Oryctolagus cuniculus: one gene and its partner. The main gene of each other region encodes a partner of the protein of the gene in region 2 in a complex. Links are inferred from orthologs where the notes say so. Each region holds a gene or a part of one and is shown on either strand. Other genes may lie near its edges.

Region 1 (3,746 bases), on a different chromosome or scaffold from region 2:
CAGGCATTAATAAAGCATGTGCTTTCTGCGTAAGTAGTCTGAACCTAGGATAGCTACCCTGTGATCACTGATAATCACTTTACTGCAACATGATGGCAACAGCTTCCAAAAAACCTTGTCCGAAAGCAGTGGAAGGTGGACCAACTGCTTAGGCCCCTGCACCCGTGTTGGAGACTGGGAAGGAGCTCCTGGCTTTGGATCGGGGCAGCTCTGACCGTTGCAGCCATTTGGGGAGTGAACCAATGGAAGGAAGACCTCTCTCTGTGTCTTTTTCTGTCTGTAACTCTACCTCTCAAATAAATAAAATCTTTAAAAAAAAAAATAGACCTTGTCCGAGGTTATGTAAAACATCCTAAGGTCAAACTTAACAGAGGCACAAATCTAACAAGCCATCCCTGCATTATAAGATAATTGCATTTTATTAAACCCAATGTAATTACTCATTACTCTTACCTTTGTAGTCAGATAGGCTGATGTCTTTGAACTGACCATCTGGCATAACAGCTGTGGCTTTGAAGTTGGGGGCTGGGTGCCCAATTTTAGCATTTCCTGAAGACATTTTGCTATCAATTTGAATAACAGAAAGTTATAAGCAAGCCTTCACCTACTTAAGAGACTTAGTTGTACATCAATCAAGGAACTGTCCAATAGCCCTGAGTAAATTTTACACTACTAAGATGCACAGGCCAGCAATCAAGGGTGAAAAACTGAAATTTCCAACTTTTAGAACAAAAAACAAGTGTCAATCTGAACCTTTGTTTAATCTGAAAACAGCATGGCAGTTATTTTACCACACCAAGGTCAACTCTGTTTCAGAACTATTTGTGCAAGTGCATTTTGCTCTGTATATTCACTTTACAGAGAGGGAGGGAGATGGAGTTTCAAACTAGAACCCAAATGTAAAGTGGCACAAGGACTGAACGCCTGTCTCCCAAAAACAGTCGGCTTTGTGCCTCCAGCTGCCTTTACAATGTGGGAAGCACACTGACCTTTTTCCAGGTTAAGTCTGTCCAAGACAGCACACAAATGAAAAGCCAACCCAACTTTAGGTGTTGCCCTACAAGTCCTTTCAAAATAAGTTTCTCACTTCCCAGCCAAGATCCTGGGGGTAAAAGCAAGAACAAGAGGCAATTTACTGCTAAAAAGCAACAAACACTGCCCTGGATTCACACCAAGACAAGGAGTTGAGATTTAACTAAGTCATCCGCCTGAAAACTCAAGCAGCTAATTTTCCAAGTCCCACAGTTTCTGGAGTTTGTTACCAAAACCAAAGGAAACGTTAAGTATTGCACCTGGAAAACACTGTACGCTTTTTTTTTTTTTTAAAGATATCTTTTAACATCTTTCACCAGAAAAAAAATAGCATGCTGAAACTTGGTGATCAACTATAGGGTGTGATCCTAAAATGGGCCTTCTTGCCCAAACCTGCTTTTTCGGACGCCCCCCACGTTCAAAGCCCAAGTAACCTGCACAACAGGCTGCTGGACTTAAAGGATCTGATGTGCCCGAGATCGCGGCGACGCCCAGGCTCAGCACTGCCACTTCAGGTGCTCGGCGGCCACTCCCGCCATCAGCTCCGCCCCATCCCCGCGGACAGAGTGCGCAGTCTTCAGCGAGGGCACCGGAATCAGCACGAACTCCATTCCGCAAACGAGAAAATGCCGGAGAGGAGACCTTCCTAGCAGGGCCGGGCACAGCCCTCACCCCATCGCACAGTGGCCTAGGCACACGCTGTCTCCTACAGCCACAGGTCAGGATGCACGTACTTGACCGAAGCTTCCCGAACCGCCCCGCCTGAAGGACAGCTGTCGGAGACCCCCCACCCCCACGAACGCCCTCCGCCTGGGGTGTGGGAGGAGGTGCAGGGTATCTACGCTAACCCGGGGCTCAGCCACGTCCCGCGCCCACGAGGGCCTCACGTGGGCGGGCGCACGGCCCGGGAGCCTCACAGCACCCCCACGCGAGCACGGGCAGGGCCCAAGAGTTGGTAAAGTCCAGCAGGTGTGTTACGGGGCGCTGCACCTAGCTCCTCCAGACCGCGAGGCCCACGCACTCACCAGTTCCAACACAGAAGTCTGAGAGACACAGAGAATCGTCGAGAGCCAGGAAGACGAAGCCCGCAGTCCGCGCGGGGCGCTGCTTTTATAACTTGTAGCGTTCTCGCGAGAGTCGGAGCGGGCCGGGGGGTGTGGGAGGAGCGGAGAGGAGGGGGATCCGGGCCGAGCCCGCCCCGCCCATCGCGCTCCGCGGGAATGACTCAGCGTTTTCCCGAGTTGCGGTGGGCAAAGGCTCAAAAGGTGGAGCCCACCGCCCTGCCTCCGTGGCTGCGGTCGGAGAGCGAGGGTTCCTCTTGACCGTCCCCAAACTCAACGCTTCCTTTATGAAAGAGACCGAGATGCCCCACTTCCAGGACCCCTGTGCTCTGTACCCTCAAGTTCCAAACCGGGTTGAGGACCCTCGCTGCTGCGCGCGGAGGACCCGTCTAACTACAGCCAGCCCTAAGAGCTGTCTTTCCAAGCAGTTCTCAAGTCTGCCTAGGTCCCCACAGCCTTTGCCCTCGGCCCTTAGACCCTTAAATTGTTCTCTTAAGGGTTCCTTGTTCCGGTGGTCCCTCCCACAGCTGCTGAAGGGAATATTTCTGAAAGCAGATGATGTGATTCCTCAAATTTGTAGATTAAAAGCTGGAGCTCTGTAGACAATGTCTTGGGGTAAAATGCCTCGCTATCGTTTTATATGTAACCTTAGGCGGTGTCAACGCTGTTGAGCCTTAATTTTCTTCACCTGTAAAATGGGAACATTAACACTTAATTGAGCTCTCCCTATAAGCAGCCTCGGGTGTTTTGGGAAAATGGTTGCTATTCTTTAGACCAGGAAAACCTCGCAAACTCATGCAAATCAAGAGGTTTGAACTGTCTTTGTTCATTTTAAGAACATCTGTAAAACTGCTCGGAAGACAGAAATTAGCCTCTGGGTGCGGAAGGGGCCTAAGGAAAACAAAGCACCTGCAGGAGGAATGTGGAAAGGAATGTAGCAGCCCCGTCAGCCTGGAAGTAGCCCATAGTTTTCCACTACAAAGTCCTTCCCGCACCCCATTACTTTATAGGTGGTCCCAGCCTTCTCCCCAAGGAAAGCACACCCAGGAGAATTCAGTCTGCTAACATCATTGGGTAATAAGACCTAGAGAGAAATTTTACCTACTTCACACCCAGCAAACCCTCTGTCCAGGGGAAGGGGGGGGGGGACCCAGACCCCAGACCCTTACACGCCCACGTCTAAATGCGCAGGACACTCAGCTCTCAGTTCTTTGCTGAGATGCCCGCCTGGTCTGTCAGGTTTTCTCTTCATTTGCCTTGTTACCTGGCTCGCCCCAGTCAGTGACGGCACACTCAGATCCACTGGAGAGGTGCCCACCGCTCTGACGGATGCCCTACCTCATTCAACCTTGCTACCTTGCTTACTGCTACTATCTCAAGTCTGAAACTCTTGTCTTGCATAAAGACAAGAACCCCTGAGCAGCTATCTCTGCTAACAAAACTACCCAGGTCATCAAGGCTATGTGCATATCTGAAAAGTCAGCAGGTATCTAAACAATACCACATTAAAAAGTAGGGTGTGCCATTGTGTACTTACAATGGTGGAATGGGTAGGAGTGCCCAGGCCAAACAGTGGGGTTTGACACAGGATCAGTAGCCAAAAAGGTGCTGAATTGCTGAATTTTTGTTGCACATGCTTAAAAATTCAGAATA
Region 2 (3,646 bases):
CACACCACAGGTGCTGGGGTCTTCTGTGCCCCAATCCTGCTGAAGCCACTGCTGCCTGTGGGCCTGGCCTCACGTTTGCTGTGGATCCCGTGCCCCGTTGGCCCAGCCCCACAACTCTCCCCCAGAAGCCAAGGACAGGGTCACACAGTGCTCCTCTGGGCAAACGGAGGTCCTGCTTCAGCGGCTGAACGCACACTGCTGGCCTGTAGACCATGGTCTGAGCAGCAGGGGCAGGAAAGCCGGGGCAAGGGCGGGTCTCCCAGGTCACCAGAGGCGGCTGCTAAGTGCAGCATCCCGTGCGGGTGAGTCAGGTGTGCGGCAGGGAGGCGAGGGGGCAGGAGCCAGCGACTGTGTTGGAAGAGCAGTTTTAAAGTCTGTTCCCCTCCCCCCATGAGGCTGGGGGTCCCTCACCGTGGATTTCCAGAAGGTTCTTGGTGCCAGCCTTGCGGTGCAGCTCGTCGATGTTCTGGGTGATGACCATGACGCGGCGGCCCTGGCCGTGCAGCCGGGCCTCACACTCGGCGATGGCCAGGTGCCCAGGGTTGGGCTCCTTGCTCTGCATCACCTCCCGCCGGTAGTGGTAGAACTCCCACACCCGGGAGGGGTTGCGGGCAAAGGCCTCAGGGGTGGCCAGGTCCTGGGTGGGAGAGGGGCAGGGTCAGGGACTGAGGAGGGAGGGGGCGGCACCCAGGCCCTTCTTTTTTTTTGGACAGGCAGAGTTAGACAGTGAGTAAGAGAGAGAAAGAGAGACAGAGAGAGACAGAGAGAAAGGCCTTCCTTCTGTTGGTTCACCCCCCAAATGGCCGCTATGGCCGGCGTGCTGCGCCCATCTGAAGCCAGGAGCCAGAGCTTCTTCCTGGTCTCCCATGGGGTACAGGGCCCAAGCACCTGGGCCATCCTCCACTGCACTCCCGGGCCCCAGCAGAGAGCTGGCCTGGAAGAGGGGCAACCGGGACAGAATCCAGCACCCCAACTGGGACTAGAATCCGGGGTGCCAGCGCCGCAGGCAGAGGATTAGCCTAGTGAGCCATGGTGCTGGCCAGCCCAGGCCCTTCTGAGCCGAGGCTGGTGGCCATAGGGGCACAGGCTGGGCCGTGTCTGCCTGAGAGGAGGACTGGGTGGCGGATGCCAGGCAGGGGCCTGGGTCCCCTAGCTGTTGGGCTGACCCAGCACCCTGGAGAGACTGGGCTTGATTGCCCCGGTGATGGGCAGGAATAATGCACCTGTCCCACTTACACAGGTAAGTTATGCAAGGAAGTGAAGTCTGATGCAGGTAGGTATTTTTTCGTTGAAAGCCAGCATATATAAATCCATTTTTTCCCTGAGCCCCACCATATACAAAGTAAATCTAATTTTGAGATACACCCAGGAAAAATATGAACTACAAAATGCCCAATTGTGGTATAATGGCTGTAATTGAGAAAGTCAGCTTTTATAATGGTAACGAGAGTGAAACACACATACACACACATAACTACACACATCCACATACACGTAACATACATACAACTACACAGACACAACTATACAACCACATCTGCACAACTACACACATATTACATACCTATAATATACACACACAACTACATATACAACATACACACAAAACCACAACACAACTGCACACTACATACAACCACATATACTCACACCACATATACAACTATACACATACGACCACATACATACACATTTATACACATGACGTGCACAACTACCCACAACCACATAAATACAACTATACACACAAAATCAGACATACAACTATGCACACAACCACATACACAATTGCACACACGACATAGACATGCCTACATATGACCATATCACATAACCACACACACAAAACTACATATAATCGTTCACACAACCATATACACAGGGTATACATATACACAACTATCCATACAAACAGGCACCTCAAGTCTGTGGAAATTGGAACAAAAAGGTAAGTTGACTGGGCGGGCGATTCATGCAGTGGTTGCGATGCCCGCATCCTGCACTGGAGCACCTGGGTCCCAGTCCCTGTCCACTCTCAATTCAGCTTCCTGCTCACACACAGCCTGGGACGCAGCAGTGACGGCTCAGGTGGCTGGGTCCCTGCCACGCATAGGGGAGACTCCGAGTCCCTGGTTCCTGGCTTCCCCCGGCCCAGCCCCAACTGTTGCGGGCATCTGAGGAGTGAGCCAGCAGATGCAAGAGCTCTGTCTCTTTCCCTTCCAAATAAATAAAACCAATAAACTCAACATTTTTTAAAGATAAGCTTATTGGGGTGCACAAAATTCAGAAAAACTATGCATGGGCATAAGTTTTTTCACATGGCCCTTTGGAAGTCCCTTGTAGACACACAACGCACGTATGAAAAAAGGTATATGCACTGCAGTAACAGAAGTATACAGACTATACTAGAGCGCGCGTCTCCCTGCAGCAGACACCAGCCCCTGCTCCACTGCAAGAGTGCAGCCACGCTTGTCCAGGCTGGAGGCAGAGGGCGTGGGAACAAGAGGCTATCCAGTGGTGACCCTCAGGTGCACACACCGTCAGACTCATCACCCTGCACACCCACGGTGCATGTGTGCCTTTCATTCTAAGCCAATCCCAGCTCACCGTGGGAATGTAAGGAAGGACCAGTGGCCACACGGAGCTGGCGTGACCTGACCGTCATGGCCCCTCCACGGTGGCGACCTCAGTCAGGCCCTTCCTTTGGGATGGCAGTGTCGCTGCTGTGGGTGACTGCCTCAGCCCTGTGCTCCCCTCCCGCCCTGCTTGTCACTGGGACCCAAGTGGCCTGGAGCAGTTGACGGGCGGCACGTGAAGGTGTATGTGGTGGCAAACCTGTCCTACTGACTCCCTGGCTCACACACAGCCGTGGGCCACCTCTGACACCACAGCATCCTGCAGCCCTCCCAGCTTCTCCCTGCTGGCCTCTGATCGCCCCTCCCCCCACCGCTGCTTCTCCCCATCCCCGTTCCTCGGGGCCCTTTGGACTGCTTTTCTTCTTTCTCCGCTGCTTCACCTTTGAGAGATCTCCACATCACCAGGCGACGCTTTGCAGGCCTCACCTGGACGGCAGCAGGGAGGGGACCGAACATCCCAGACACCTGCCAGCCTGGGACACCTGGCACAGGAAGGGAGGGGCGCGTCCAAGACATCACCTGCTCAATCTGGAGGTCACGCCTTGGGCTAATTACTCATGACTGTCTCCGCTCAGCCAACAAATGTCTACCGAGCTCCTCCCCTGGGCTGAAGTTCTGGACGCTGGGGACAGGGCAATGCACAGGACGACACTCCCGGCCCTCCAAAGCTGGGCACTGCCCAATCCAGGGGGATGAGAGAGGACACACTGCAGAGGGCCGTGATGGAATACTCTGGAATCTAGAAGGACAGACATGTTCCAGGTCATCCATTTGTTAAAACTCACTAAACCGTATGTTGGAAAACTGGTGAATTTTACTATGTGTGTGTTATGTCTCAATCAAGACTGGACTTTTTTTTTTTTTTTTTTTTTTGACAGGCAGAGTGGACAGTGAGAGAGAGAGAGACAGAGAGAAAGGTCTTCTTTTTTGCCGTTGGTTCACCCTCCAATGGCCGGCGCGGCTGGCGCGCTGTGGCCAGCACATTGCGCTGATCCGAAGCCAGGAGCCAG

The links. Proteins that work in one complex are often made in the same cells at the same time.
Region 1: the proteins of SIRT5 (region 2) and PRDX1 are in contact, whole or in part, in a crystal structure (PDB 8Z54), measured with the Homo sapiens proteins. The link is inferred for Oryctolagus cuniculus from reciprocal best matches to the Homo sapiens genes SIRT5 and PRDX1. Residues at the interface, in NP_001363727.1 of Homo sapiens: Ala86, Tyr102, Arg105, Gln140, Ile142, His158, Val220, Val221, Trp222, Phe223, Gly224, Glu225, Asn226, Leu227, Leu232, Val253, Val254, Tyr255, Pro256; in NP_001189360.1 of Homo sapiens: Phe195, Ser196, Lys197, Gln198.

Annotation. Positions count from the first base shown.
Region 1 is NC_091438.1:127,368,876-127,372,621, reverse strand, and holds the start of PRDX1 (peroxiredoxin-1), read right to left. Parts: upstream 2,549-3,746; 5' UTR 2,058-2,548; intron 564-2,057; 5' UTR 560-563; coding exon 454-559; intron 1-453. UniProt on the Homo sapiens protein: Thiol-specific peroxidase that catalyzes the reduction of hydrogen peroxide and organic hydroperoxides to water and alcohols, respectively.
Region 2 is NC_091436.1:157,046,482-157,050,127, forward strand, and holds part of SIRT5 (NAD-dependent protein deacylase sirtuin-5, mitochondrial), read right to left. Parts: intron 638-3,646; coding exon 412-637; intron 1-411. UniProt on the Homo sapiens protein: NAD-dependent lysine demalonylase, desuccinylase and deglutarylase that specifically removes malonyl, succinyl and glutaryl groups on target proteins.